Callithrix jacchus: one gene and its partner. Each later gene encodes a partner of the first gene's protein in a complex. Links are inferred from orthologs where the notes say so. Each region holds a gene or a part of one and is shown in the gene's direction. Other genes may lie near its edges. The genes, in order: PAWR and SPSB1.

Evidence for each region.
Region 2: the proteins of PAWR (region 1) and SPSB1 are in contact, whole or in part, in a crystal structure (PDB 2JK9), measured with the Homo sapiens proteins. The link is inferred for Callithrix jacchus from reciprocal best matches to the Homo sapiens genes PAWR and SPSB1. Residues at the interface, in NP_001341661.1 of Homo sapiens: Glu68, Leu69, Asn70, Asn71, Asn72, Leu73, Pro74; in NP_079382.2 of Homo sapiens: Arg77, His78, Pro79, Val80, Ala81, Gln82, Gly110, Thr111, Tyr129, Val216, Trp217, Gly218.

Annotation. Positions count from the first base shown.
Region 1 is NC_133510.1:82,370,894-82,386,643, reverse strand, and holds the start of PAWR (PRKC apoptosis WT1 regulator protein), read left to right. Parts: upstream 1-5,458; 5' UTR 5,459-5,588; intron 5,589-5,888; exon of another isoform or gene 5,889-5,914; intron 5,915-6,078; 5' UTR 6,079-6,225; coding exon 6,226-6,741; intron 6,742-15,750. UniProt on the Homo sapiens protein: Pro-apoptotic protein capable of selectively inducing apoptosis in cancer cells, sensitizing the cells to diverse apoptotic stimuli and causing regression of tumors in animal models.
Region 2 is NC_133508.1:47,213,868-47,228,917, forward strand, and holds part of SPSB1 (SPRY domain-containing SOCS box protein 1), read left to right. Parts: intron 1-5,933; 5' UTR 5,934-6,080; coding exon 6,081-6,774; intron 6,775-15,050. UniProt on the Homo sapiens protein: Substrate recognition component of a SCF-like ECS (Elongin BC-CUL2/5-SOCS-box protein) E3 ubiquitin-protein ligase complex which mediates the ubiquitination and subsequent proteasomal degradation of target proteins.

The DNA of each region.
Region 1 (15,750 bases):
GTAGAAGTCTCTGCTGATCTGGAGTTATGGAATAGATTGCAAAGTAACTGGAAATCTGCAAAATGGATGAATTGGACTTCCTATTAAATATAATAGGTTGAACACACATGTTTATCTTTACTTCCTCAAGTAACTTCACTAAAACCAAAGTAAAATGATAAACCAGTAACAACAAAGAGGATGAGCAGTAAGAACAAAATTTTGGAAGATGAAAGATTTGCTTAGGGAGAAAAAATGCAGACTTTAGCAAAGCAGAGAAAGGTAAATTCCAACCTACAGGAGACAAAGCCAGTAAGAAGTAATCTTTTTTTGTCTTGCAGAGCCCTGAAAAAGATTCAGAAATTGGAGGCAGCAGCATATACCTCTGAAACAGTGAAGGATGGGGGTGAAAACAGAAAGATTAGTTGAAAACCTACACAATAAACAAATTATCAGATCCTCTCTGCAGGGTTCAGTAGCAAGGAAGCTATCTCTCCTGATCCTGGCAGAGGACTGGAAGTTCACGTTGTACAGATGTTGAATTACAAAAGCCCTGAAACTGGGTATGTCAGATATACTAAGTATAGGGATTATGTGAAAATCTGCATATTGAGTAACGAGACGCTGCCAGTCTCCTTTCCCTACTTGACATCTGAAAACATTGGCAACTGACAACACAAGCAGAAATACAGTTTTACTCAAGGAAAATTATTGAGCCAAAAGCGAAGCTCCACAGATGCTGCATTTGACGCACGCCTCCAGAAAAATCCCTGGGGTCAAACACCGGCTCCCTAAATGAGGCCCATCAGTCAACAAGCTCTTCCCTTTCACAGAAGAGCTTTGAGTGAGTGCAGTGAGCTTTTCAGTTCTTCAGTCTTAAATACGAATAAACAGCAGACTGATGAAGTGCTCTAACATGAAAGATGAAGATTAAAACAAATTTTAAAAAGTAGGCAATTTGCTTAGGGAGAAAAAAATGCTCAATATGTGTCAAGAACAAGATGCTAGAGAAAAAAATATTTAGAGAATAAGAAACAGATTAGAAATAAACAGTGTCAGAAACAGAAAATTCTATAGAAAAACTGTCATATAAAGTGAAGGAAATTTCACTGAAAGTAGAATAACATGCCAAAGAAATGAAAAAAGAGAAAAGATAAAAAAATTTGTTAGAGAACTTCTAGCAGTCCAATATCTACTTAACAGGAGTTCCAGAAGGTGGGAATGGAGAAAGTAAAAGGAATGTCTTATCAAAGAAAGAGAATAAGAAAATTTCCCAACTGGAAGGCAGATACCTAATTAAAAGAGTCCACTGAATGCCTAACATAATAATGATAAAAGACCCAATCAGAGCATATCTTCAAGATATTTCAGAGGATCTGGGTAAGAAAATCCAAAAATTTTGAGACAAAAGATACAATGCAATCAGAATGCCATTCATTGGTCTTCTAAACAGCAACTCTGGAAACTAGAATATAATAAAGCAATGCCTTAAAAATTATGAAGGACAATAATTTTAAACCTAGAGTCCTATGTTTCACCAAACTATTAATCAAGTGTGAAGATGAATTTAACCTATTTTCCAATATGCGAGGTCTCTAAGAATGAATTATACTATCTTTAGAATATACCGATATACTTCACTAAAATGAAAGGGAGAAACAAACAAGAGAAAAGTATGGAATTAAGGAAACAAGAAGTCTGCAGAGAAAATGATTCGCAAGATGTTAGAGAAGCATAATCCCAGGATGACCACAAAGCAACAAGCCTTAAAATCAATCCAGATTAAGCCAGGTGCAATGGCTCATGCCTGTAATCTCAGCACTTTGGGAGGCCGAAACTGGCAGATTGCCTGAGCTCAGGAGTTTGAAACCAGCCTGGGCAACACAGTGAAACCCTGTCTCTACTAAAATACAGAAAATTAGATGGTGTTGCAGTGTGCGCCTGTAGTCCCAGCTACTTGGGAGGCTGAGGCAGGAGAATTATTTGAACCCTGGAGGGGGAGGCTGCAGTGAGCCAAGATCGTGTCACTGCACTCCAGCCAGGGTGACAGAGTAAGACTCCATCTCCAAAAGAAAAAAAAAATCAACAATCAGATTAAAGCAGGGGATGGAGGGCTCCAGAAGAGAAGTTTCTCCCTGCTCTCCCCGAAAAAAGAGAGAATAAGATAGAACAGAACTAATAGCTTACTCAGTGTGATTAACTTCATTGAAAGAAGGAAATTTGGGTATAAACTCGGGACTAGTATATAAGAAAAAAGATGATAAAAAAGAGGCAAGATTAAACTGCAGAAAAATGGTTAAAACAAAAGGTATAGTTGTGCAACAAGGAAAAACAGTTGTAAAAAATGCAATCATAGTACACCACATGACTCAGCTGTGAACAGTATTTGTAGTCATAATACTAAAAACATTGAAGGTTTATTCAATAAAAATCATAATATAAATATAGTTGGAGTGTAGGAGTATGAAAAGTATTTGTGTCATTAGTATATCAGAGCTAAATCCTCTTCTATGAGATATCTAAAAATGGAAAAATCAAGACATACAATAGCAGATATACACATAAAAATATGAAGATCTCTAAAAAGTTTAAAAAGTTTAAAGTTTTGGGTAAGGTTTTCAGAGTGAGTAAGGTAGAGAGGGGATTGCTGTTTTTTGTTGTATTCCTTGTAGAACTAAAAAATGTAATTTTTTATACTATGCACATGTAATATTTTGATGTTAGAGGATGAATTACATATGCTCTGGAAATATCTGCATTTAAGGCAAAATGGCTACTCCCCAATATACCAGCTATCCATACATATCAATAATACCATGCCTCAAAGCATTAAGACTTTAACATACAGAATAGGTTTCACTCTGACATATTAAAATGAATGTTTTGTTGGCATTATCATATTTCTTTTTATTATTAAGGGCAAGTGCATAGCTAAAAACTGGTTATTTTAGGCTAATTCAGAGGTGTTCAATGGGGGAAGAATTTTATCCCAGGGAACATTTGGCAATGTCACAATACCGGTCGGGGGTTCTTATTGGTATCTAACAGGCAGAAGCCCAGGATGCTGCTAAACAGGACAACAAAGAATTATCCAGCCCCAAATGTCAATAGTGCTGAGGTTGAGAAACCAAGCTCCAAGTCTTTGAGGATTATTTCATCAGAACGCTATACATAAAGACTGATGATATGCAAACATCTTGCAATTTAGGACTGACTCAGCTAAATACATTGGGGCAATGTTGGAAGCAGTCTGGCTGTGAAATATACCTTCGGGAATATTGAGAATGGTAAAGACAAAAGGTATAATAAATGATAATAATAATAAAACACAGAGCTTTGTACCTCAATAATCTCTTTCATCCACGGTTCCTAAAGAACTTTATAGACTAATAATAACTACTCTGGTAGTCACATACTACCTTTTATCTGAGGACTGCAGGCACTTTCACAACACTCTCACAATGTAGGAAGTATTATTATCCCCATTTTATACATAAGTAAACAGAGGCACAAAAGTTAAGCAACTTGCCCAAAGCCACACAAGTCGGTAGCATTCAAAATTCATGACTCAGAACCTATTGATACCAACAGAACTGGTCTAACCCATGCAGTGATAAATTTATGTGGTGTGTTATCCCAGTTCATTCAAAGTCTATTGTTTTTTAGGTTGATATTGTATATTCAGTACCCCACCTATTTTACTTTGCTCTTCTCCCATATACTTTTTAGAGACCAAGGACTGTAAGTCCCTACAAGTGACTAGGTTTACTGAGTGCCTTCCTCAAATCAAGCACACTTTATGTGCAGTGTCAGTTGTTAAGACAGCTGAAAAATAATGTGATTTTTGCTGATTTTATAGTACAGAAAGCTGAGTGCCAGATAATTTAAACATGCCCAAGACTTCTCATCTACTTAACATAGGTTTGTATCCAGGCTGACTATACCCTCTCTCCACTATATCCTGCAGCCCTTCTAAGAGAAAGTCCTTTGTTAAGTTACAAAGCATATTAATGTGAATACATTTAATGTCCCACCCTTCCTTCCTTTCTGTAAAACTCAGAAAACAAAATAATGACTATGTAACTGATAAATTTCAGGTGGCACACTGCGGTTGGTACCAGCTAGGTAAACAGCTGCTTACCCTTTTAGTCCTATTCCCAAGAAAAGCCTTTAATTTTCTAAGGCTTTTTCCGCACCTCTCTCCATATGTTCCAGACCAAAGACCAGAATTGTCTTTCCCTAAGAAATACACAGCATGTGAATCACTTTCTTCTGTTCCCAGTTCTGTGGCAGGCAAACACTGATTGCTCACTCACCATGTGCTCCTGGGCAAAACAGGAATATTAAGTAGGAAGAATGGTTTATGTTGGGTAAGAATGTGACTTAGGGCTCTCCTACTTTTTTTTTTTTTTTACAAAATGGAGATCTGGCATTTGTCGCCGCCCACAATTATGTGCCCTGACATTACTTGGATATAGAAAGGTCAGACTTCTCAGGTGCGTCAGTGGCAGCCCACCCACCACCTCTGATCCAGAAATTTTAGATGACTTGCATCTGAGGATAAGCCTCTGGCATGTTAACAATAAAAAAATAGAGGCAATCATTGCCCAGCTCATCTCAAATTAGCATCAGTGCAGCGTTAGTACTTTGGTAGGCAGCTTTGCTGCTAAATTCACTCTGTAAAGAGGAGATGGGAGAGACAGGGTTAAGAGGAAAACTCCAAGACTGGGATCGCCAATACAATAAACTGTCGAACTTTTTTCTCCCACAAGTCTATTAGTAACTCCTTCCTCTTAGCCAACCCTTTTCACCAGGACACCAGTTTTCTTAGAAGGAGGGTGGTGGGTTTGTTTCCGTTCTTTCTATTCTCCTGCACGCTGCCCAAAGTACATCTGAAAAGGGAGCAGCGACTAGGGAAAGGGACACGTGGGTATTTTCCCATCCTGTCTAGTCATTCCCTGAATCATCACAAGTTATCGCACTTTTCCCCTTAGCCAGCAGCGTTCGAGACTTTCTCTAAAATAATACGGTCTTGTACTTAAAAGGAAGAGTGGTGGGAGAAGAGAGAGGCGGAGAAGACAAGCGAGGAGAAGGGCGTGGAGTGTTGTTCCCGCCCCGGAGTCGCAGGCGCCGGGAGGCCGGACGCCGCGAGGCTGCTAGCCCAGGAATGTGCGGTCCAACCCGCCAGCCGCGGGCGGAGCGCGGCGGGCGCGGTGCGGTCGGCGGCGGGTGCAGTGTGGCCGGCGGCGGGTGCGGAGCGGAGGACGGCAGGCTCGAAGCAGGCGGCAGCGGCGGGCGGGACGCGGCGCCGCGCACCTGAGCGCCGGGGGCGGGGCGTCAGCGGCCACGACCCTACCCACCGCGCGCCGCGCCCCTCGTGCGCCGCCTCGGCCCTTTCCGTTCGTGCTTCGGCGCCGCTCGGCTCCCTTCCCGCCCCTCGCTCCCTCCCTACCTCTCTCGTTTCCCTCCCTCTTGTCCTGGGACTGCTTGGAGCTCCGCAGCGCGAGTTTGCTGCGGTTCTTTGGGCGCGGCGGACGAGTGCGCCAGCTTCGGCTCACCTGGGCGCCAGATCCCAGCCCCACGCCTCTTCCCCTACAAGCTCCTCCGAGGTAAGGGGCTGCCCGGCCGCTTGCTCACACCCGTCCCCTTCCCCGCTCGGTGGGACAGCGGGGTCCCCGCCTCCTCCGCGAGCCGGCTAGGAGCTCCGCGCCTCGCCCTGGGTGTGGGGTGTCGCTGGCGGGGACCTCGGACCCGCAGTGGCCAGAGCGCGGAGCAGGCGATACGACGGGCCGACAGGTGGCGGGTCTGGCCCTAGTACCTCCACCGCCTCCAGCACGGACCCCGGTGGGGACGGGGCGGGCTGGCCAACTTGGGGGTGGGGTCAGTCCTCTCTCCTCCCTTCGAGGGGCGGCGATCGTCGGGGCCCTCATTGTAGGTGCGTGGGAGAAACTTTGCAGGGTGGGGACCCGGCGGCTTCTCGCCGGTAGGGACTAGTTGGCACGCTCGAGGGCTCCGAAGGGCGCAGCCTGGGGGCAGACCCTCGGGTCGGGCGGGGACCTTACGCTTCCCCTACCCGCCCCCTTTTGTCTTTCCCCTCAGACCAGCTGGCTGCTGGGGGAGCGGCGGCCGCCAAGCTCCTGGAGGTCGTTCCCTGGCATCCTCGCGGACGGAGGAAGGAAGAGGCGGCAGCGGCGGGAGCCCTGGTGGGCGGCCTGAGGTGAGAACCCGGCCAGCCCCGCTGGGAATATGGCGACCGGTGGCTACCGGACCAGCAGCGGCCTCGGCAGCAGCACCACAGACTTCCTGGAGGAGTGGAAGGCGAAACGCGAGAAGATGCGCGCCAAGCAGAACCCCCCGGGCCCCGCCGCCCCGGGAGGGGGCAGCAGCGACGCCGCCGGGAAGCCCCCCGCGGGGGCGCTGGCCACCTCGGCGGCCGCCGCTGCCAACGAGCTCAACAACAACCTCCCTGGCGGCGCGCCGGCCGCACCTGCCGCCCCCGGGCCCGGGGGCGTGAACTGCGCGGTCGGCTCCGCCATGCTGACCCGGGCGGCTCCCGGCCCGCGGCGGTCGGAGGACGAGCCCCCAGCCGCCTCTTCCTCTGCTGCATTGCCGCCCCGGCGTGACGAGGAGGAGCGGGACGGCGCCCCAGAGAAGGGCAAGAGCTCGGGCCCTAGTGCCAGGAAAGGCAAAGGGCAGATCGAGAAGAGGAAACTGCGGGAGAAGCGGCGCTCCACCGGCGTGGTCAACATCCCCGCCGCAGAGGTGAGTCGGGCGGGGGCCGCAGCCGGGCCGGGGCGGGCAGATGCCTCCGCTGTCTTCCTCCTGGGAGTCCCCGGGGCCTGGAGTTTTCCTCCTCTGGTTCGTACTTGTCCCTTCACCGAGTTAGGCAGGCGGGGGTGATGGAGTTTTATTCTCCACAAATGCTTCCTGGGAAGTTCCTCAAACTTAGAGCAGGACATGTGCCCTCTTCAGGCTTCCTGGCCAGGTCTCAGATCCAGTATCTTTCTTTACCGTGGTGGAAAGACAACTTGTGGCTCCAGGACTTGCCCACCTGGACCTGGCTGTTTATGCTTGATCAGTTAGAAAAATTGATTAATGGTGGTGACAACATTTTCTAGGGTCCCACGTGCCCATGTGAAGTTGCCAGTTTATCTCTTTCCTACCGACGTTTAATAGTACCTGTAAAGAAAATGTGGCCTTAGCAATTATCCAAGACAGCTTTATCTTCCAGTGAACTTAAGATGAATATATCTAAATGAATATATGCACTCTTTCATGTATCAACTGTTTATAAGTTGTGCACCTAAACACATACATAGGTTTTTTTTCTGAGGGATATTTAGGACAATAGGCATCCTTTAGTAACCTACAGTTCTGTTTGCTAAGACGATCTCATCTTCTTTTTAAGTACTGTATCTGAAATACATATGTGGTAGGGTTTTTTGTTTGTTTTGGGTTGTTTGCATTTTTGAGCATTTTCAAAATGTTGCTACAGGTAGCAGCATCTTCCCGTTAGACTGACGGGTAAAACATTTTTACTAAGTGTATAATCACACCTCCTTCTACCAGAAACAAGACAAAACAATCTCAAACAAGTTTTGGTTACTTTAATAGTAGCTCACGGATTTGAGGAAGTGGCTGAACTACCTTGTTTCACCTAAAATAGTTGCATCTTTTTCTCATTGACCCTTTAGTTTTCACTTTTTTTCCTCCTTGCTTTCTGATTTTACTCAATTTTGCCACCCGGTAAATAACTATTAAGAATTTACTAACTTTAGTTGTGGTTTAAGTAAAAGCATTTGCAATAAGTTAGGGTGTATATAAAATACACCTAAATTTTTAGAATTAATATGATTTCCATACCTAGAAAATCATAGTGTATCTTTGTAGGGTGTATTTTTATATGAGTGTTTCTGAGATTTTTATCAGCCAGAAAAACTGTCCTCTGTGGTTTGCTCCTTGCACAAAAGATCTGTTATTCATTAAATTGCTTTAGAAGGAATTCTAAGGGTGGTAATCAAATTTCCATTTTTTTTTTAAGTTAAAAATATGAAGATTAAGGGGAAATTGAAGACAAAGCTTTGGGAAAGCTACATTCCTCAACTTTATTTTTAAAAGTAGCTGATAGTTCAAATAAAAGATTTTGTCCTTTTCAGTCTTTTCCTAATTGTTCATCTGACAGGGGTCTTATTTTGGGAAATAACTCAGCAGATGTTAAACTTCACTTTTTTTCTGGCTGCATGTGCTAATATTATTTTTCAAGTAGTTTTTTCAATGTTTCAAGTATTTTTCAATGTTTACTGAGGGAAGGAAGTAGGGTGTATCTTGTGAGATCCTAAGAAACATCTTTTGTTAATACCCCTGCTTTTGAGTAAGAGAACATAGTGCTGAGAATGTAGATGACTCCCCACTACAATGGAGTATAATACTCTGGAATGTTTTCGTTTGGGTGTTGGCAACTCCTAAATTTAATCTTCCTTAAAAACAAACAAACCAAGGGTACCTTTTTTTTTTTTTTTTTTTTTGGTCTGTGGAATTTGAACCTTTTTATTGAATAGGGAATTGAGGACTGCTTTCTTTTAGTGGTAACTATGGCTCTATCCGTTTCAAGCTGTAGGACCCAACAAAACATAATAATTTTTTACCACAGTATCTAATTAACAGACATATTTCTTGAATGCCTCCTCCATATATTGTCATTTTTTTCAAAACAACTTAAGTATTTCAGATTATTTTAAAGTGGTAAAATACATGATGCAAAACTTTTAAGCTGAGCCATTTTCATGTCTTTATATTGTTGCTTTTTTAGAATTGTGTGCCATTTCTTCTAGTAGTTTCAACAGTGAGAATACCAGTTGCTGTGGAGTTTCTTGTGTAATATTTAGTTTAGCACTCCTGTTTTAAAAAGTCATATATATTTTGCAATGTTTTCAGGTATGAAAATATGTAAAAGGATGCAAACGACCAATCTATATTCAGAAGTAGTCTTATATTTTATCTAATGTTGAGTAAAACTCTTATTTACAGACATGATTCCTAGCCATTTTATATTAGTAGATTAACATGTAGTTCGTATGTAGAGATCTTGTTTTAATGGTTGATAAACATGAAGCTCCTTCAAGGAAGTACTTACGAAACATCTGTGTGATACGTTTATTGTGACTTTGATTACCTCATTTTACTAGTTATAGATTATATAATACTGTTATAAAGGTACCTGAAAGCAGCTAAAGATACTAGAATCGACGAGAAGATAGTTTTAGGTGAGGAACCAGGTCAAAAACTGAAACTAGTCGATTTGGGAGATAGGAGACTGGGTGGTTACTGTGTGTGATGAATGGAAAGTTGAAATATCCAGAGCTTCTTTAATGAGATAAAATTTACTAAGAGTTTTTTTTTTTATCCTTTTTTTCTATATTTTTACATTTTCAATTTTTTTGATAGTAATTCACCTGAATTGCATAATTTGGACGTGGCATACTTCTTGCCAGTAATTTTGTGTGTGTTTATCAGATCAGTCAAATGTTTGTTACATACCTGTTAAAGACACTGTCCTTAAGCACTGGAGAAAACAAGAATATGGCAGTGTATATTTTCAGGGAGCAAGGCTGTAAACTAGGAAGAAGGATAAGGCATGATTACATGAAAAAATTTAAGTACTGAGTTAACAGTTTAAAAGCCATCTTTTTTTTTTTTTTTTGAGACAGAGTCTTGCTCTGTCATCAGGCGCCAGGCTGGAGTGCAGTGGCGCGATCTCGGCTCACTGCAACCTCCGCCTCCTGGGTTCAAGCAGTTCTCCTGCCTTAGCCTCCCTAGTACCTGGGACTTTAGGCCCACGCCATCATGCCCAGCTAATTTTTGTATTTTAGTAGAAATGGGGTTTCACCGTGTTGGCCAGGATGGTCTTGATCTCTTGACCTTGTGATCCTCCTGCCTCGGCCTCCCAAAGTGCTGGGATTACAGGTGTGAGCCACCGCACCTGGCCAAAAGCCATCTTAATGAAGCACGTAACTATTTATTGGAAATAGTGTGTGTTTAAAGGGAGGAGATGATTGGGCTGGGAGAAGCTATTGATGTTGAGAATCTTGACCTGAGTCTTAAACTTTTCGATGCCTGTATATTTTTACATATATTCTCACATATGTGCATGTATACATAACTGTAAGTATATTAAGTATCAGCATACAGTGGTTCTTAACTGGAGCAGCACATTGATATCATGTTGGGATCTTTTAAAAAAAATGTTTGCTCATGCTAATTTCTTACCCTCTTTGTCCCTTCACCCCACCCTCTAATAATTGAATGGATCTACAGTGGATCCCAGGCATTAATTATTATCATTATTATTTTTGAGATGGAGTCTTGTTCTGTCACCCAGGTTGGAGTACAGTGGCGTGAGCGATCTCATCTCACTGCAACTTCTGCCTCCTGGGTGGAAGATGATTCTCCTGCCTCGGCCTCCCAAGTAGCTGGGATTACAGGCGCTTGCCACCACACCTGGCTAATTTTTGTATTTTTGGTAGAGACAGGGTTTCGCTATGTCTGTGAGGCTGGTCTCAAACTCTTTACCGCAGATGATCCGTTTAGCTCGGCCTCCCAAAGTGCTGGGATTTCAGGTGTGAGCCACCGTTCCTGGGCCCATTAATATTTTTATAAGTGTACTATTTGATTCAAATGTGAGTCAGTGTTAAGAACTATCGGGCTGCAGTCTGGGCATAGAAATGAATAGGACATAAGCCTTGCCCACAAGGTACTCTCAGGTAATAAAAGGAAATGTAAAAAGCAGAGCTGTAAGTATAACTTAGTGTCTGAGCAGGGTACCTAACCCAGGGAGGAGGAGGGATAGTTGAAGAAAGCTTCCTAGACGGTTATATACTTGTTTTCAGGGTGCTTGTGAAACTTTTGCCATAAATAGGGTTGTACGAATGGGTTAATGGAGATGGTTGCCATAGAAAATATAATCTTTCAACAGGGAGAGGTGGCCCTGAGGTTTTGATTTAAGTATAAGAGTTAACATATGGTATTTAAAACTTCTGTTTTAAAATAGTGGTTGGATAGAGTGGTTTAGCTTCAGTGGTTGGCTAAAGTGCTTTATGTACTATCTTAATGCTCACAGCAATCTCATGTGGTTGTTATAGTTATTCTGTTTATCCCCATTTCTAGAGGTGAAAATGGAGACTTAGAGCTTAAATGATTCACGATCACATAGAAAGTGAGCGACAGAGCAATATTTTAAATGTTTTTGTGCATTTTGTGTATATGTATATATCGAGGGAAAGGAAGGTTTTTAAGAATTAGCCTAGCTTTTATTATTCAGCATATTTCCCTAGATTTTTTATGTAACTTTTTACTAAAAATTATCTTAAGTAATTTAAACACCTGAATGAGGAAAACAGTAAAGGTATGGAATTGAGTAGAATTTCAGGTCAAATTCGTGGACTCAGAGATTGCTTCTGACCTTCTAATTTAAATTAGCAAAATTTTGAACACCACACTCAGCAAAATGTAAATTTTTTTTTGTCTAGTGGTAAGAAAATGTGGATCTTTGATTTTACTTAAGTGATGTATTTTTCTAAGAAGATGGGATCATAACACCTACTTCACAGTTTGAATTTGGGATAGTAAAAGGGAAGATAAAGGAGCGTTAAGCATATAGAAAGCACTTTTAAGTGAACACAGGTTAGATCATAATCATTTAGTATATTTATTGAACATGATATAGGACAAGTTCCACTTAGTAAACTTTATAAATCCAGGTTGATTAAGAATTGCCTTTTGTTTTTCCCATTATGCTCCAGACTGTCTACCTTTCTGTGTGATGAGTCAGGAGAGAAACTAATAATGACTCAGAGTTGGAGAAAATTTGATTTGTGAATGGGGTAGGTATAGTGTTAACACTGAGTCTGCTTAGTATAAAGCCTGGGCTGATATTAGCCCAGCTTTCTTAAATGTTTTAGCTCACTGGTAAAGTAAATTGAAATTTTAATATTATCAGGATTTGTACTGAGTTGTCTAAGCTGGGATGCCATTTGTCATAAAAATTACGTAATTAAAGTAGATGACATTTATGTTGTGCTTATTAAGTGCCAGGCACTGTTCTAAGCACTTAACGTATATTAGTGCATTTAGTTCTCACCACAGCCCTATGGGAAAATGGAACAGACAGGGGATGTTACTTGCTTCAGGTCATATATGTGTGAGAAGTAGATGAGAGATAGTCTGCACTCACAGTCTTGTGTATAATAAACCATCTTAACGCTACACCTCAGTGTATTACATAATGAATATCTAGTTTAAGAAATACAAAGAATATTTTAGTGTTAAATTGTTAGTATATGACTATAGAATTTGAAAATAGCCCTATTTATGCAGGATGGATGAAGTGAGATTTTAATGGAAAATTTTGAGAACAAATGAATGTATAGACACTGGCATTAAAATTCTTATTTAAAATCATCAAGCTAGTGACCTGTTTATACTATTTTTTTTTGAGATGGAGTCTTGCTCTGTCACTCAGGCTGGAGTACAGTGGCATGTGGTATGATCTCAGCACACTACAACCTCTACCTCCTGAGTTCAAGTGATTCTCTTGCTTCAGCCTCCCAAGTAGCTAGACTACAGGTGTGCACCACCATGCCCAGCTAATCTTTGTATTTTTAGTAGAGATGGGGTTTCACCATGTTGGCCAGGCTAGTCTCAAACCTCGGGCCTCAAGTGATCCGCCTGCCTCGGCCTCCCAAAGTGCTTGGATTACAGGCGGGAGCCACCATGCCCAGCCTGTTTATGCTATTTATTATTTCTGCATTTTTTTTTAGCACTGTAATGCTAAATAATTATGCCATTTAATAGCAAGGTTGATATAATGTTTTACAAGTATAAAATTATTGGCAAATATTAAGGTTTGATATTTTCTCAGTGCCTTTTTCCTTTATTTAAAATTGAGATACCATTCACATACAGTAAAATTTACCCTTTTAAAGTGTACAGTTCAATTTTTTTAAATATTCACATGGTATGCTCTTAAGTACTTTTATATTTTCATCTTTATTTTTCATTATGTTCCTAGAATCTGTGGTGCCTAAGTTTTAGCTTTCTTTCCAGTAAAGTGATATGGTGTTCACATTATGAGAAGCTATTAACTTAAAATAATTTAATATCAGCCTTTCCCACATTTTACAGAGAAGTTGGAAACTATGGTAGGATTTCCTCAATTTTAAATTTCTTAAAACTTGGGCACCTACTACCATTTGTTTGCAGTATAATACATATTTATTAGGTTGGTGCAAAAATAATTGTAGTTTTTGCCATTGAAAGTAATGGCACCAACTTAATAATTGGATTAATTTTGTACCAACCTAATAATTGGATTACTTTTGCACAAAGTTAATAATTTAATGGTGTGTAATACTTCCAGTTTACTTAAATTTTTACATATCTTTCATGGAGAACTGCAAAGCTCTGTTATCTAAACATTTGGGAACATTGATTCAGAGTAAAAACGGAGTTTCCAACACTTACCACTTTAGTTATATTACTAGAATCAGTGTCCTAAAAGATGTGTCTGCGGGCGGGGGGGGTCCACCCCTACCTGTAACACTTGTGTTACTTATTTAAAATGAAGATTTCTGCGATCCACCCCAGTCTGGGTTAGGGATTTTATCTAAGAGTCTGCATTTTAACTTGAGTGATTCTTGTACACACTAAAGTTTGAGAAGAACTAACTTAAATACCTTATACTAGTTTATTGATCCGTCATATGAAATAGATACTGATTATCTAACAGGATTGTTATATGAACTAAATAAAATGATGTTTGTGAAAATGTTGTAAAAATGCCCAAATCATAAATAGTAGTTACTATAGAGATTAATTTTCTATGAGATTGTAAACTTCTCATTTTTTTCTTCCAATTAAAAACTGTACATATTTTAACAGACAAATTGAGCACTTAGAAATTCAAAGTACTTTAAACATTTATGTAATGTCACATACTTCATGCAAAATACTGTGGCTGCCTTGCCTCTTTTCCAGAATTTAGGCAAGTCTAGATGAGAGAAACACCTCTAATAGTTAAATGTATAATTAGAACTTTACTTTCACTCATTTTTAAGTTTTATGTATCTTTAAGTAAAAGCATATAATTGCGTTTATAAATATATTTGATAATTAGCAACTCAGATTTTTAAAGCATTGTTTTTGACATCTTATCAAACTACAGTCAAGTGCAAAAGTTTTTCCCATTAATTAAAAATCTTATATGTTAGACCTATAGACATCCTTGACTGGCAGTTGATCTGAAACATATTTGTATAAGTGCTGAGTTCACTTTCTGTTTAGATCTTAGTTGTGTTACAGCCATATACCTACTTGTATAGAGTTGAGCCTCAGCCACCTGTTATATTTTCCTTAGACTGTGTAAAAGTATGGCACCATGGCTGAATGAAATTATAGGAATACTTAATTTCTAAAAGCAGCAAAATCACACACTTCAAAGGTAGAAACAGCTCCTGCAAGTTCAAATCTTAGCATGTCAGTTGACTATTACATGTTTATTCTGTGACAGTTTCTGGAGATTTTATTCAACAAATTTTTATGGGTCACAGTGTATTTTTCAATGAGAGTCTCATTTATTTTAAGTAGTTGAGGAAATAGGGCAGTTGTATTTTGAAAATTAATATTTTGTTAGACTTTGCTGAAATGAACAGATAGGAGAGAATTTATATTGTAGATTACAATTCTGTAGCAGCTGAAACTTTGTTTTCAGGTTCTTCATAATAAATTATATGGGGCCAGGCACTGTAGCTCACACCTCTAATCCTAGCACATTAAGAAGCTAAGGTGGGAGAATCAATTAAGCCCAGCAGTTCGAGGCTGCAGTGAGCTGTGACTATTCAACTGCACTATAGCCTGGGGGACAAAGTGAGACTCTGGCTCAGAAAAACCAAACAAAGCAAAACTCTAGGGTTTGAAATACGGAACTGAAACAGATAAAATTAACTTAAAAAGACATTTTTTGGGCCGGACTCAGTAGCTCACACCTGTAATCCCAGCACTTTGGGAGGCCAAGTCGGGCGGATCACAAGGTCAGGAGCTCGAGAAGATCCTGGCTAACACAGTGAAACCCCATCTCTACTAAAAATACAAAAAATTAGCTACGTATGGTGGCATGTGCCTGTAGTCCCTGCTACTCAGTAGTCTGAAGCAGGAGAATCGCTTGAACTCGGGAAGTAGAGGTTGCAGTGAGCTGAGATCGTGCCACTGCACTCCAGCCTGGTGACAGAGCTAGACTTCATCTTAAAAAAAAAAAAAGTCTTTGAGAATAAGCTTATCTGTGGTCATATAAGCAAACTACTTAATATTTAAGAATTTGCAGATTACGTAAAGTATCAGTTGATTTTCTATTTTTGGAGTTTTTTCCAGAATATTTTTTAGTAGTGTTTAAAAGAATATAAATCTCAGAAAGAAGACAGTTAACGTTTGGAAGATGGTGCTTGAGGAATAGGAATAAAAAAGTAATTTTTTTTATGTTGAAATAAAGAAGTTACTTTTAGGTTTCAAATTCTTGATAGACTTCTCCTTATCCTGTAATGTAAGCAAAAGTTGATGCAAATCAAATTTATATAATCCTAATATTTTTCAGCTGGTAGAAGTAATGTGTTGAAAAGGCAGTGTGTTCATTGTAGTTCTCTCATGGAAATAAAGCCAAGGAAAGGTAGAAAAACCTGTTATCTTATACATATTAATATTTGTGTTTCTAATCTTATTTCTGTG
Region 2 (15,050 bases), on another chromosome or scaffold:
CTCATGGCATTCGTACCTGTGACAAGGTAACAGCCTGGTCTTCAGGAAGCACCAGGCCCTGGGACTGTCCGTGTGACAGCTGCACGGCAGCCTGAGGACTGTGAAAGTGAGAACTGTCATTTACAGGGAGTGTTTGGTGGGGCAGAAGAGGTACAGGCCAGGAACATGTTTGCTGTGGGGTTTGGCTGAGACAGCCGTGAGGCGGAGGAGGCAGGTGCAGTCCTGGTGACTAATGCAACAGTGGGCTTTGGGGTGAAAACTTCCACTAAGGGAATGGAGAGCAGGCGCCACCAGCCACGACACTGCCTGGATTGTCACGCCTCTGTCCTGCTCATTAGTCTCGGCTGCTGATGTTGCTCTTGGTGTGCAGACACACAAGTGTGCACGTATGTATGGGTGTGTGCGTGTGTGTATAGGTGTGTGCAAGTATGTGTATGGGTGTGTGCACATGTGTGGGTATGTGCATGTGTGGGTTGTGCAAGTGTGGGGTGTGTTTGGGTGTGTATGTGTGTATGGCTGTGTGTGTGTACAGGTGTGTGCACATGCATGGGGGTGTGCATGTGGGGTGTGCACGTGTGGGGTGTGTGGGTGTGAGCAAGTGTGTTTGGGTGTGTGCGCACATGTGGGTATAGGTGTATGCATTTGTGTGGGTGTATGCATGTGTTTATGGGTGTGTGCATGTGTGTGGGGGGTGTGCATGCATGGGTGTGTGCCTGTAGTCACACATGCACAGCGTGTGGTGGGTGACGGTGGCGGCAGCAGGGCCACATCTGTCCTCTGCTCTCCCGTTCCAGCCCTGCAGGTTAGCACAAGTCACACTCTTTGCGTCTTTGCTCCTCCTGGGTGGGGATGAAGGCGGAGTCCTCCCACCTTCTGGAAAGTCACCAGTTGCTCAGCAATCCCAGGCCCTAATGCTTCTGTGGCACTGCAGGACCCCACAAGGCCTAGTTATCTGCATTTGCTTCTTAGAGCAGCAGTAAGTGGGGTGGACCCAGAGCAGGGGGCCTGTACTGTTCTCTCAGCTCCTGCCTGAAGCGTGGTACCCAGTGCTGCACACCCTCCTGGCCCAGGGATGTCTGTCATGGTCCGGTGTTCACAGGAGCCATCCCAGCACCTGTGGATGTTTGTTATTTGGCACCTGTGGGTGTACACACCCCCCATCCTGAGTGCCATATTCAGGAATTTTGGTGATGGTAGTAGCAGTTTTGCTAATACCAATCGAACAGGGGCATTCCTGTTTGAATACCATGTGGCCCAGGACTCGTAGTTTATCTGTTTTTATAAATAGTTTTATTGAAACATACCCATGCCTATTCATTTACACATTATCTGGAGAGCCTTAAACAGTTACTATCTGGCCACTTATGGAGGGACTTTGCCAACCCCTGGTTTAGAAGGAGCCTTAAACTTGATCTGCTCTAGCCCAGCCTTTCAAGCCTTTGGGTCTTGGCCCAAAGGCAGCGTCCATCTAGAGGGCCAGATGTGGCCAGGAAGACAGGAGAGCAGTGATCTTTGTTCAATGAATGGAGCACAGGCTGGGAAATAAACAAAAGTGGAAATGGCAGTGGCGCCAGCCCCCCCGGAACACTGTCTCCACTGAGTTTTAGGTAAGTGTGTGACAGATGAGTGAGCAGAAGCTTGAAGAAGCTCAGGCTGGATCTTCGTGGCCAGAGCTGCTGTCTCTGTGTGTAAGCTCAGAAGCCCCAGGAAGCAGGGCTGGGGAAGCGCCCATCAGGCTGCAGTCCCAGGGGAAGCAGCTTGTCCAGCTCCTGGGGACCCACAGGAAGGGTGGATCTGTGCAGCCACATTTTAAAATAGAGGAAGGCAGGCAGATGGATGGCTTTAGTGTTCTTGCACTTCGAGGAGGTGGCTAGGTGTGAACAACAGGAAGTTGGGAAGGCAGTGTCATCTTTAACCATAGCCTGGACACAGGGCGGGTGACAGATGAGTCATGAGTAGCCCTAGGGTCACCACAGTGACTGACCACCTGGGAGGTGACTCAGATGGCAGAAGTGGCCAGGTGGGTGGCCCACATTCCCTGGCTAGGCCCTGGGGTGCCCTTGTGAGGGAGTCACCCCACAGTCCTGGAGGCTCCTTTACCTGCCCTCTCTGCCCAGGGAAAACACCCCACACTCTGTCCCCAGCCTCCCTCCTCCCAGGCCCTCCCTCCCACCAACTCCCACGTCTCACAGCATTGTGGTCTAAGGCCTGGGCTGGGGTACAGGGGAAGGTGGGTGGAGGCGGAGGGGTGGTGGTTAGGGTTCGGCATAGGGTTAGGGTTAGGGATAGGGTTATGGATAGGTTTAGGGTTACAGTGAGGGATAGAGTTAGGGTTAGGGTTAGGGATAGGTTTAGGGTTAGGGTTAGGGAGCTCAGCCCAGCATCAGTGTTGAGGACTTGCTGGGCCACCTGAGGTTCTGGCATCTCAGAACTGGGAGAGCTTGTGGAGCCAACCTTGGCAGACAGACAGTGGATGTCCCACGTTGGGGTGAAGCCATCCTTTCTGGTGACTCTTTCTGGGACAGGACTGGGAGCTCCCTCCCGCCATCCAGCTAATGCCTGCTGCAGCCCCACAGGGCTGTGTCTTAAGTAGAGACGAGGCAGGACGGCCTGGTCTAACTCGGGCTGGTGGAGCCTGTGCCAGCCTGTCCTTTATAAATAAAGTTTTCTGGAACTCAGCCACGTGCGTTTATTTATGTCCCGTCTGTGGCTGCTTTTGTGCGACAACAGCAGAGACTGTCTGGCTCTCAAAGCCAGACATTTACTATCTCGCCCATTGCAGAAAAAGCCTGCTGATCTCCCGTCTCGCTGAGACAGGCGTTCTGTGTGTTCAGGCCTGGGTTTATTAGCCTGAGAGCTCCCTCTCTCCCCTCCCTTCCCTCCCTGTCTCCCACATCACCCTTTCTCCCGCTCTGAGGTGTCCCCCTTGCCCTACCGCACTCAACCTCCCTGTTACGGTCCCTCCTAGCATTTTCTTTCTTTTTTTTCACCTGATCAGTGCTTGGATTTGACCTCCTAGCATTTTCAATTACCCTGCTAGGGGACCCCTCCCCGCCACCTTTCCCTCCTACCCACCCCTTCCTCCCCCAGCCTCCTCCTCACTCTTCCCACCTGTTCCCACGGGTGGAGAGAGGGCAGATCTTCCATGACAGATGAGATTCTGGGAGAAAGGTTTGTCCAGCCGCAACAGTTGAGCAGCAGAGGGGCTGTGGGGGAGCTACGCTGCCGGAAGCGTGCCGTGAACGCTTAGAATGTAACTCCTACCCTGTCCTCTCAGGGTGCTGAACTCTGTGCCCACAGGACCCTGCAGAATTGAGAATACGGAGAGGTCCCTGGGCACCAAGCTGGAGGGGGTGTCCAGACAGAGATGCGGGGGTACTCTGCGCTCCTGCTCTATGCAGCTCTGCCCTCGAGAGCTGCCTCAGGCCGGCCTTCCTACAGCTCAGAAATGCTCCAGTGGAGGTTGGGAAGAGGGGAATTCAAGGAAGGCCACACCCCAGCCACACCAGACCAGCTCTCTCCGCCTCCTGCAGCTTGAGGTGCAGGCCCCAAAGCCACGGAGTGCCCTCTGCAGCCACATAGAGGGAGTCCTAGAGGTTTCAGTGGCTCCCAGGAGAGGAAGTGGGAATGAAAGCTTGAAAATGGGATTTTCCTGGGAGATCGTGGATGTGAGGTCACAGTATTCAGAACCTTCTGAAACCAGGGTGGTCCTCCAGGCTGCAGAGGGGCACCTCAGCTCTGTAATGGCTTTGCACACACTGGACACAAGGAGACCTGCCCTGTCTCTGAAGAGATGACCATGTCTCTGAGATCAGAACCCTCTTGTCTATGGCCGGGTGCAGTGGCTCATGCCTATAATCCCAGCACTTGGGGAGGCCAAGGTGGAAGGATGCTCTGAGGTCAGAAGTTCAAGACCAGCCTGGCCAACATGGTGAAGCCCTGCCTCTACTAAATACAAACAATTAGCTGGGTGTGGTGGTGTGCACCTGTAATCCCAGCTACTTGGGATGCTGAGCCAGGAGAATTGCTTGAACCCAGGAAGCAGAAGTTGCAGTGAGACGAGACAGCACCATTGCACTCCAGCCTGGGCAACAAGAGCAAAACTCCATCTCAAAAAAAAAAGAATGCTCTGACATCAGAAAGGGGAAGTCGAAAAACATGACCTGGCCCCTGAGATAAGGGGGTCGGGGCACCAAATTTTCCCATGTGGAAAGGTTCTGCTGGGACCAAACCACCTGGGCACCTGGCTGCCCTGCAGATGGGGTCTCATGGGGCCTCTTACCAGCTGAGAGGGGGCTATAGGTCAGCCCTGCACAGCCTGGCCCTGGCTGGCCCCACACTGAAGGGGAGGCCAGTACTCTGAGGTCCCTGGGTTTCCCTGTGTCTGGAAGCCTGCAGCTTCCCACACCCCTGGTTCCTTTGGGTTCTCTTTGTCCCCCTTCCTCGGGCACCCTCATAACAAGCAGCCCAGAGTGACTCTCCTGGCAGCCAAGGCTCCAATGACCTCCCACCCAGTCACCCCCACAGGCTCCTTTAGTTCTGTTTCTTCAGCCAGGAGCCTGCCTTGCCCCTGCCCTGGTTGATCCTAGGAGCCTGACCCTAAACCAGGCTGCTCTTCCTGGCCTCTCTGGTCCCTTCCAGAGGCCAAGGGGGTTCCTGATGGCAGAAAGAAACTTCTCTCTTGAACAAGGCTTGACTCTTCCGCCGCCACCTCCTCCTCCTTGGATAGAACTCTTCCTGGCCAGCACTTGGGGAGGCCGAGGCAAGTGGATCACTTGAGGTCAGGAGCTCAAGACCAGCCTGGCCAACATGGTTAAACCCCGTCTCTACTGAAAATACAAAAATTAGCCAGGCATGGTGGTGGGTACCTGTAATCTTAGCTACTTGGGAGGCTGAGGCAGGAGAATTACTAGAACCCAGGAGGTGGTGGTTGCAGTGAGCCAAGATCATGCCACTGCAATTCCAGCCTGGGTGACAGAGCAAGACTCTGTCTCAAAAAAAAAAAAAAGAATTCTTCTTGGGCTGCCAGTGGAGAGGATGGGGTAGATGCAGTGAGATCTCTCTCCCAACCTGAGTCTCTGTTCTTCCTCCCTGAAGGACCCAGGGGATGGTAGCCAGAGAGGGAACAAGGCGTCTGTGTGTTGGACTTCCTCCCCAGACGTGCTGTTGAGCCCCAGAGGGCGAAACCCTGGCTTCTAGTTGAAGGGCGTGGGCAGGAAAAAGAGGTGATCAGTCAGATAAGAACTCCTGGGGGTCAGGGATGAGCCCCCCATGCTGTCTGAATCCGGGCCTGCCCTTGAGAAGAATGTTGCTGGCGGAGGAGGCTCCGGGGCCCTTCCTGCCAGGAGCACACAGACCCCTGAATTGAGCTGTTCGTCTGCACCAGAGGGCTCTTCTCTGGAGTGAATTGGTGGTGCGTCTGCTGGAGGTCGCTGTGCCAGAGATGGGGAAGAGGAGCTGGGATTGGCATCCTCAGCAGCCTCTGCTGCTAACCGGGCTTCCCTTCCCCTCTGAAGAGCAAGGCAATAGCCATCTACCTCCCTCTGTTTTGACCACGAAAATGCCCATTGTGTCGTGGCTGAGACCCGGTTCTGTGGCACTGTGGCCTTCTGCCCTGTGGGACCCTGATGAGGTATTTGGTGGGCATCAGCCATGCGTCTGCACCTAACACAGATGAGGGTGACGCCCAGCCCCCAGGCCCACCGCTCCATGCAGTCTGCCAGGTGGACAGACAGCCCCTTTCCTTTGTGACAGCCTAGACAGGGAACAGAGGATTTCATTCTATGCCAAGGCTCCAGCCTGCCCATGTCAGGCCTGACGGAGCCCAGGCACAGACTGCCAGGATATGCCTGTGTGGTCGCCTCACCCTCCAGGTTAACTCTCCCCTTCACCCTGTAGCCTTGCTCACCGCTGTTTGTCTTTCTATCCATTAGGCAATACCGAACACCGCAGCTTGCAGGGGTCTCCTGGCAGCCCTCCTTAGGAATTCTGTCTGGCCCCAATCAGAATACTGGAGGTGAGACCGCGAGATTGATGAGTTTGCCTTGGGAGTCGGTGAGAAGGTGAAACCAGGGGCGAACATGGGTCAGAAGGTCACTGGAGGGATCAAGACTGTGGACATGAGGGACCCCACGTACCGGCCCCTGAAGCAGGAGCTCCAGGGTCTGGATTACTGCAAGCCCACCCGGCTGGACCTGCTACTGGACATGCCCCCTGTGTCCTACGATGTTCAGCTGCTGCATTCATGGAACAACAATGACCGTTCGCTCAACGTCTTCGTGAAGGAGGACGACAAGCTCATCTTTCACCGGCATCCGGTGGCCCAGAGCACAGACGCTATCAGGGGCAAGGTCGGGTATACCCGCGGGCTGCACGTGTGGCAGATCACGTGGGCCATGAGACAGCGGGGCACGCACGCTGTGGTGGGCGTGGCGACGGCGGATGCACCCCTGCACTCTGTCGGGTACACGACGCTTGTGGGGAATAACCACGAGTCCTGGGGCTGGGACTTGGGGCGCAACCGGCTCTACCACGATGGCAAGAACCAGCCAAGCAAAACATACCCGGCCTTTCTGGAACCAGATGAGACGTTCATTGTCCCTGACTCCTTCCTGGTAGCCCTGGACATGGACGACGGGACACTGAGCTTCATTGTGGATGGACAGTACATGGGAGTGGCTTTTCGGGGACTGAAGGGCAAAAAACTGTATCCCGTAGTGAGTGCCGTCTGGGGCCACTGTGAGATCCGAATGCGCTACTTGAACGGACTTGATCGTAAGTGTACTCTGTGCTCTCAGAGGCAGTGCCCTCCCTCTGTCCCCGTGGTCCTGGCTGGGCTCAGGGCAAAAGTTTATACAGTCATTGAAACTAACGTGTTTTGAAGTTGATATCCCAGTGTATTCAGACCCTCAGGCAACTTTTGCCTGCATCTGGTTAAGTGAGGAATTCTAGCCAGAGTCTGCTAGATTACCTAACGGTGACTCATGAATGAAGGGACAGACGGATAGATGGATGGATGACGGATGATGAATGAATCGATGGATGAACGATTGGTTGGATGGATGGATAGATGAGTGGATAATGAATTGATGGATGTATGTTTGGATTGATAGATGGATGAGTGGTTGAGTAAATGGATGGATGGATGAATGGATGGGTGGGTAGATGAGTGTTTAGATTGACGGATGGATGAGCGGATGAATAAGTGGATGGATACATGAATATTGGATGAGTAGATGGATGGGTGGGTGGGTGGATGAATGTTTAGACTAATGGATGAATGGATAGGTGGGTGGATGAGTGTTGGATGGATGGATGGATAGGTAGGTGGATGAGTGTTTAGATCGATGGATGGATGGATAGGTGGGTGGACGAGTGTTTAGATTGATGGATGGATAGATGGATAGATGGATGGATGAGTGTTTAGATTGACAGATGGATGAGTGGATGAATAAGTAGATGGATAAATGAATATTGGATGAGTGGATAGATGGGTGGGTGGGTGGATGAGTGTTTAGATTGATGGATAGATGGATGGATAGGTGGGTGGATGAGTGAGGAATGGATGGATGGATGGATGGATAGGTGGGTGGATGAGTGAGGAATGGATGGATGGATGGATGGATGGATAGGTGGGTGGATGAGTGTTTGATGGATAGATAGATACATGGATGGATAGGTGAGTAGATAAGTATTTAGATTGATGGATGGATGGATGGATGGATAGGTGGGTGGATGAGTGTTTGATTGATGGATGAGTAGATGGATAAATGAGTGCTAGATGAGTGGATGGATGGCTAGATGGATAGATGAGGGAATGAATGGATGAGTAGATGGATAAGCAAATAGACTAATGAATTGATGGATAAGTGGATAGATGGGTACATTAATGAGTAGGTAGTCTTTGTTTCTCTGGGTGACCTGCCTCCAGGTTTGATCCTCAGTTGACCAAATTCTCGCCCACTTGCCAGCATGTGATCGAGCTGGGGTTTGCAACCTTGGGGATACTAGGGCCTCTTGGGTAAATGAATGCTAGTGGCCTCTCTCACTCATTACCAGGCTGAGTCTTTCTCTTCTGCTGGAGGCTTCTGAGTGGGCTCCTTTGAGATACAGTCCCGAGGGACTTGTTTGGTCATGAAGTTGTCAGGGAGCACATGAATCAGAAACAGGCTGAATCAAAAGTGATGACTGTGTGAATGAGCCCATGCGTAGGGGCACCATGCTGGTGTGGGAGGTGGAGGCTCCATGGCAGCCCTGCTGGGAGCCCACCATAGCAGGAGGGCCTGGCATTGCAGAACAGCTCACTGCGTGTGTGGCCCTCTCTCAAGCCCCTTGCCTACATGAGTCCCTTTTACCACCTGCAGGTCCCACCTCGGGAAGTGAGTGGGCTGGAAAGCTCCATCCACCCATGAGCTAACTGTCTTAAACAGGCAGGTTTGGCTCAGCACCCTGAGTTCTAACTCCACTCTGCAGGCCAGGCAAGAGGCGGCGGGGGCCGGGGAGGCCCCCACCAGAGGTCAGGAATACAGATGCTATCTCTCTCTTGAAGTCTCCAAACCTGCAGCTTCTCCCGATCCTCCTGTTCCTCCTCCCCCATCTCAGCCTTTGAAAGATACTGGAGAAAGTATCAGGTGGTCAGGCATGAGCAAACGCTTACATGTTTCTCTTTGGAAGCCTCCACTGCCCCTCTTCCTCCTGGTCCTCTGCTCTGACTGTGACCCTGATGGCAGTGAGTTGACAGCCACACGTGGCATCTGTGGTGCAGGCTCCCGGGCCTGCTTGGTCCTCACCTGTACAGCCCGGCGCCCCCAGGTCATGGGACTCCTGGGCAGAGTGAGTTCTGTGTCCGTCTTCCCCGGGTGATAGAAATAAGCCAAATTTGCCTCAAGCGGGGATGGGTGCAGATTGGGAGCCCTGGGCACATCCTGCCAGGACCTAGGATCTTGGGGAGCCCTGGCCCCCTCCTCCCAGCCAAGGGGTGACCATGGAGCCAGGGAGGTTAATGTCCATTCTTTGTAGACAGACAGGTGAGGGCACCGCCAGGCCTGCTATTGTTGCCTAGCCACTGGGACCGTGGGGCTCCGTGAGATTTCCAGCCCTGTCCCCTCCAGGAACAAGCCCCCTGATACTCTCATGAGCTGTGGGTTTGCACAGCTTCACGGTCATGTATCCTAGCTTCAGTACAGAGCCCTGGAGTGGCTGGGAGGGCACTGGGGCTTATTTGAACAGAGGGTTCTGCCCACCCAGTCCTGAAGTGCAGACGCGTGTCCTGTGAATAGATGGTGCCTTGCTTGGTTAGCTCTGCATGAGACAGGAGGTTGGATGCTTTCATAATTTTCCTTGTTTGGAAAATCCTAAAGGCGCTGGGTGAGTGGGGGATATGAGAATGGGAATCAGTATTTGGGAACCATTATCTGTGAGCTGGAAGCTAGATGGCCACTCAGAGCATCACATCAGGGCACTATTAGTCAATGACAAGGACCCTTTACCTCTCCACCAGAATCAGATACTCAGCAGTGCCAGGGCCCCTTGGCTTCTCATCTTCCTCAATCCTGGTCAGACATGAATGGGCCCTGGGGTACAAGGACGGTTGACTTTAGGGGATTCAGATTGGAAAATAGATGTGGTTCGCAGAGCAAAAAATCCAAGGGTGAGGCAGTGTCACAGCTCTGCTGCAGGGTGGGGGCAGGGTAGGGGGCATGGGTGTTAGTCACCAGCCTCAACCTGATTAACCTAACACCTCCAGGCCCTTATTGAGGCAGCATCTTGTGACACAGAAGTGTCATCTTGTGTCATAGAAGTGTCGTTCTACAGCCAGGCATGGTGACTTACTCCTGTAATCCTAGCCCTTTGGGAAGCCGAGGCAGGTGGATCACAAAGGTCAGGAGTTAGAGACCAACCTGGACAACATGGTGATACCCTGTCTCTACTAAAAATGAAAAAATTAGCCAGGGGTGGTGGAGCACGCCTGTAATCCCAGCTACTTGGGAGGTTAAGGCAGGAGAATTGCTTGAACCCAGGCGGTGGAGGTTGCAGTAAGCCGAGATTGTACTGCTGCACGCCAGCTTGTCTTGAAAAAGAAGAAGTATCATTCTGGCTACTCTATAGAAATAGACAGCAGGGGCAAGAGTGGCCTCTGAGAGGCCAGGCCAGGGAGGAGCCAGGCCTGTCCTGTGAGAAGTGATGGGTGCTTGGGCCAGGATGGAAGCTGCAGATGTGGAGAGGGCTGGCCCAGTCCTGGGACTCTGGAACAGGCTCCTCCATTGATTGGATGTGACGAGAAAGGGAAATGTCAAGGTGACTCCAGGTGTTTGGGTTGAGCAGGTGGAAGGCGGGGGCTTCCCGAGATGGGAGGAGCAGATGTTAAATTTGAGCATCTTCTTCGACACATCCCAGCAGCCCTGCAAGCCTAAGAGTCTGGGAAAGCCGTAAGTCGGGGAGTTGTCCACGCATGGACAGCTTTAGAGCTGCTACCCTGGCGAGGTCACTGCGAGTGGGGGCTAGAGAGCAAGGAGAAGAGGGCTGAGCCTGAGCCCTGCTTAGAGGCCAGGAGGGTGGGGGCTGAGGGGACCCAGTAGATTGGTGTCCTGGATACCAGGTGAGGAAGGGGCTTTCAGAAGGGCAAAGTAGCGGCAGGTCAAGAACATGGATGGCTAAGAGAAGAGCTGTCCATCAGCTTTGGCAACAAGGAATTCACAGTTGACCCTGATGAGAGTCTGAGTCCAGGGGCCGGGGGGAGCCTGATGGAGTGGCTGGAGGAAGATGCACGGGGTGTTCGTGTCCAGGGCTGCTGAACATGCGACCAGGAGCAGGACCCGTTAAAACAGCAGCAGTGCTGAGGCCAGGTGTCTGCAATCAGAATGATAGCAGGCTCGGCTGCCTCCGAGCTCTGAGACGGAGCCCACCCCAGGCCTCCCCTCACTCCTGGGGACTGCCAGGAATCCTTGGCGTCCCTGCGTCTGTAGATGCCTTCCCGAGTCCCTGCCTCTGTTTGAACAAGGATGGTCCACCTGTGTGTGTCTCTCTGTGCCCCCTCCTCTCCTTACAAGAACACCAGCCATTGGATTCAGGCCCCGCCATCCCCATCCAGTATGTCCTCATCATACAACAGTACGTCTGCGAAGGCCCTGTTTCCAGATGAGGCTTCACACTCTGAGGTTCCAGGTGAATGTGAATTGGGGGGCACTGCTCAACCCACTCCAGATGTGGAGGCAGCCAGTGTAGACCATCTCCACGAGGCCTTCCTCTCCCTGAGCCACCACCTGGGAGGGGGTGACAGATAAGCCCAGTGCTCTGTCCCCTCGCGCCACCCCCACCGATGCTGGGGTGCCCATGGTGAGGTCAGAGGCCACCCAGGTCCCCTGTCCCAGGAGAGTTGGCTTTGCCTTCCAAGGCACCTAAAGAAGGGGGGCATCCTGGTGAGACCAAATCCCAGGATCCTCCTGGGAGCAGAGCATGTCAGGTGTAGGTTCTGGCCAGGCCTGGCTGGATTTGTCATCTTTTTTTTTTTTTTTTTTTTTTTTTAGAGATTGGGGTCTTACTATGTTGCCTAGGCTGGTCTCAAACTCCTGGGCTCAAGTAATCCACCTGTCTGTCTCCCAAAGTGCTAGGATTGCAGGCGTGAGCCATGGTACCCGGCTGGATGTTTTCTTGGTATCAGGCTGATCTGGGGCTTTGCTGTCTCTATCTTAGAGGTGGTGGTAGTTCCGCTCCCCAGAAGTCTGGAGAGGCATCAGTGCCCACCCCCAACACACGGGTCCGACTTCAGTGAGGGCAGCTGTTTGTAGGGCAGCTCAGGCAGTTGCCCTGCATGTGCCTTCCTGGGGATCTCCCAGCCCAGTGTTCCCGTGGCCTCTTTCCTGCATGCCAGGCAGACCCCGCAGCAGAGTCCCTGCTTCCATGCTAGGGCTAGAGCCATGGTCGGGCAGAAGCAGGGACAATGAGGTCTCGATGTTTCTCTGTGTGGCCTCTCCACTGTCTAGCCAGCTGGGGCCACAGGCCCTGGACTCTGATTCCTCCTCAAGGCTTGAGGCTCAAGGCCTTGTGCTGAGGATGCAGCCAGAGAGGCTGCTGGGACACCCTCCCTGTCTTTCCTGGGGCAAGAGTGGAGATGGCCATTGTTGAGTGGGGAGACAGGGCCTGGCCTGACCCCAGACCTGCCCGCCACCCTCCCTGGAGATGCATAAAGGCCTGTCTGCAAGCAGCAGGTGGGCAGGCAGTCCAGGGAGCGCCCCTGACCTCATGGGTCCTCTGGCCCCACCCCCCACTGCTTTAAAGACGTCTCCCACTGAGGAGGCATCGTCCATGATTCCGCATTTTAGAATTTTCTTTATCAGCTCCAGATGGGTTTGGTGTGGTTTGTCATGGTTGAAGGTTCAGGGAAGGTCAGCTCTTTTCCTCAAGATCCGCACCTCCTCCCAGGTGCCTCCTTCCAGCACTCCACTCCAGCCTGGCTCTTCGAGGAGGTAGTTCTCAGGAGGCTTATGCCCCCCACACCAGGGGCTTCCTTCCTTCCTTCCTTCCTATGTTGGGAAGGGGTTGTTCCAGATGCTCTTCCCCACCTCCTCCAGGAAATCTGGTCCTATGAGGACTGCAGGCTCTCAGAGTCGGCGGGGGTGCTGGGTAGGGGACCATGAGTGTCTGATCACCTAGATGGATCTCTGATCACCTAGATGCATCTCAGGCATCCTTCCCCAGTTGACAAGGACAAAGGCTCCATGTTTTGTTTGGCTCTGCTCTTTCATAAGAACTACTTAATGGCCAGGCGTGGTAGCTCACGCCTGTAATCCCAGCACTTTGGGAGGCCAAGGCCGGCAGATCATGAGGTTAAGAGATTGAGATCATCCTGGCCAACATGGTGAAATCCCTTCTCTACTAAAAATACAAAAATTAGCTGGACATGGTGGCGCACACCTGTAGTCCCAGCTACTCGGGAGGCTGAAGCAGAAGAATCGCCTGAACCCAGGAGGTGGAGGTTGCAGTGAGCTGAGATCGTGCCACTGCCCTCCAGTCTGGCAACAGAGTGAGACTGTCTCAGAAAAAAAAAAAAGAACTGCTTAATGTAGAGGAAAACACACACACACATCCTATGATGGCCACCCCCACCGTGACATTCTAGAATCCATGTCCTGTAACATGGTCCCCATAAGCCTCTTTCAGGGCCAGCCACAGGAGCCATGACAGCCATCGGTGAGGACATTGCGGAAGCCAGGCGTTCTCCCAGGCAGAACATTTTTCCTTGACCTCATCACTCTGCAGCTCATTCATTCAGCCTGTGAACCGGGCACAGCACCACCCTCTTCAGGCTTGAGTTGGGTTGAAATCTCTCAGAGAACGTCGAGATAGCCGTGGGTCAGGCCTCTGAGGCCGAGCGCATCCACGTCGGCCCCCAGGTAGCCATTATCACAGAACTGTCGAAGGTGGTGTACCGTCTCTTCTAGTTCCTCAGCCTTCTGCTCCCACAAATAACACCTGATTGACTTCCTGATTTCTTTGCTGCTCATTCAGCATTGCACTCTCTCATTCATAGAAATTATTTAAATGAATGCACGCCTAAGCTTCCCAGGGATGGGCACAGCAGCCGGAGGCCCCAGGCCATGGGACAGGTGCCCACCCCCTTGGTGGATTTCAGCAGACACCTGGGTTTGTGGCTGGAACTGGGTGCAAAGCCGGCAGCCCCCAGTCAAGAGTGTGGAGGTTGGGGAGAACCTCCTAGTCCTGGTAATAACCAGCTGAAATGGGGGCTGTGCATTCTTGGTCTTTGAAAAGCAGTTAGACTGGGGCTCTCTTCGCCGTCAGTTTCCTCCTGCAAGAGCAAGGAGGCATGACCTGCTTATGTGCTTGAGGCCCCAGAGAATAGACCCATTCACAGGATGCCTGGGTGACTCTAGTCCTATTTTCAGCTCATAAGGCATCACTGCAGCCATTCACTGCCGCTTCTGTAGCCCGTCTTGGTGGATCCCATGACCCCTCCCTAAGTGGGTTATTCAGTGGGATCCAAAGATGGCCAGGTCCTTCACGCCGCACGGCTGCTTTCACAGAAGGTAGATTGCAGTAGCTGGAGGGCTCATTCCTCTGGAGTCCATGGCTCTCAGACCTTGAACCCCTGATTCTCACCTCCCATTTTCCCATCTGTAGGTTGCGGTCAGTTGGGGTCACAGTCCCCACCAGGCACTTGGCTGGTACCCAACAGGCCATGACTGGGGCTGGGGCTACAATGTCAGCCACCCAAAATAAGGCACTGGTGGAACTGGGGCTCCTGTGGGCCTCTGTGGTTTAGAAACTTTTTTTTTCTTTTTTTTGGAGACGGAGTCTTGTTCTGTCGCCCAGGCTGGAAGGCAGTGACATAATCTCGGCTCACTGCAACCTCCACCTCCTGGGTTCAAGCAATCCTTCTGCCTCAAACTCTCAAGTAGCTGAGACTGCAGACATGCACCACCACACCTGGCTAATTTTTGTATTTTTAGTAGAAATGGGGTTTCACTACGTTGGCCAGGCTGGTCTGGAACTCCTGACCTCAGGTGATCACCCACCTCGGCCTCCCAAAGTGCTGGGATTACGGCCATGAGACACTGCGCCCAGCCTAGAAATATTTCTTCATGAGTTGATTTGAAACGCTTTACACCAAGCGGGTAGTGATGGGAAGTCCCTCTCAGCCCTCACTGCCACAGCCTGGCAGGGCTTTTGGGCCACATTCAGTGGCTCTTGGAGCTTTCTCAAGTGCTTTCCAGTCTCCAGGGAGAGCCCCTCCACCTTCCGGTGGGGGCTAAGCCCCATCCTCACGGGAGGGAGCTCAGGGCGGCCCCGATGAAAGCCAGATGCAGGAGAGCTTCTGAGCAGAGAAGAGAGCACACCCCCAAATTCCCCACTCCCAATAACCCGGTCAGGCCGGCCAAGAGCTGTAATAATCACTCTGGCCTTCGGGATCTTGGCTGCATGGGGCTTTGGGGAGAATCTGGTCTGGATTCCTTATCTTACAGATGGGGAAACAAGTCCAGGCACACAGAGAGATCTGCTCCAGGTCAGGCTTCGGGGCAGGGTCTGGAGTGGCC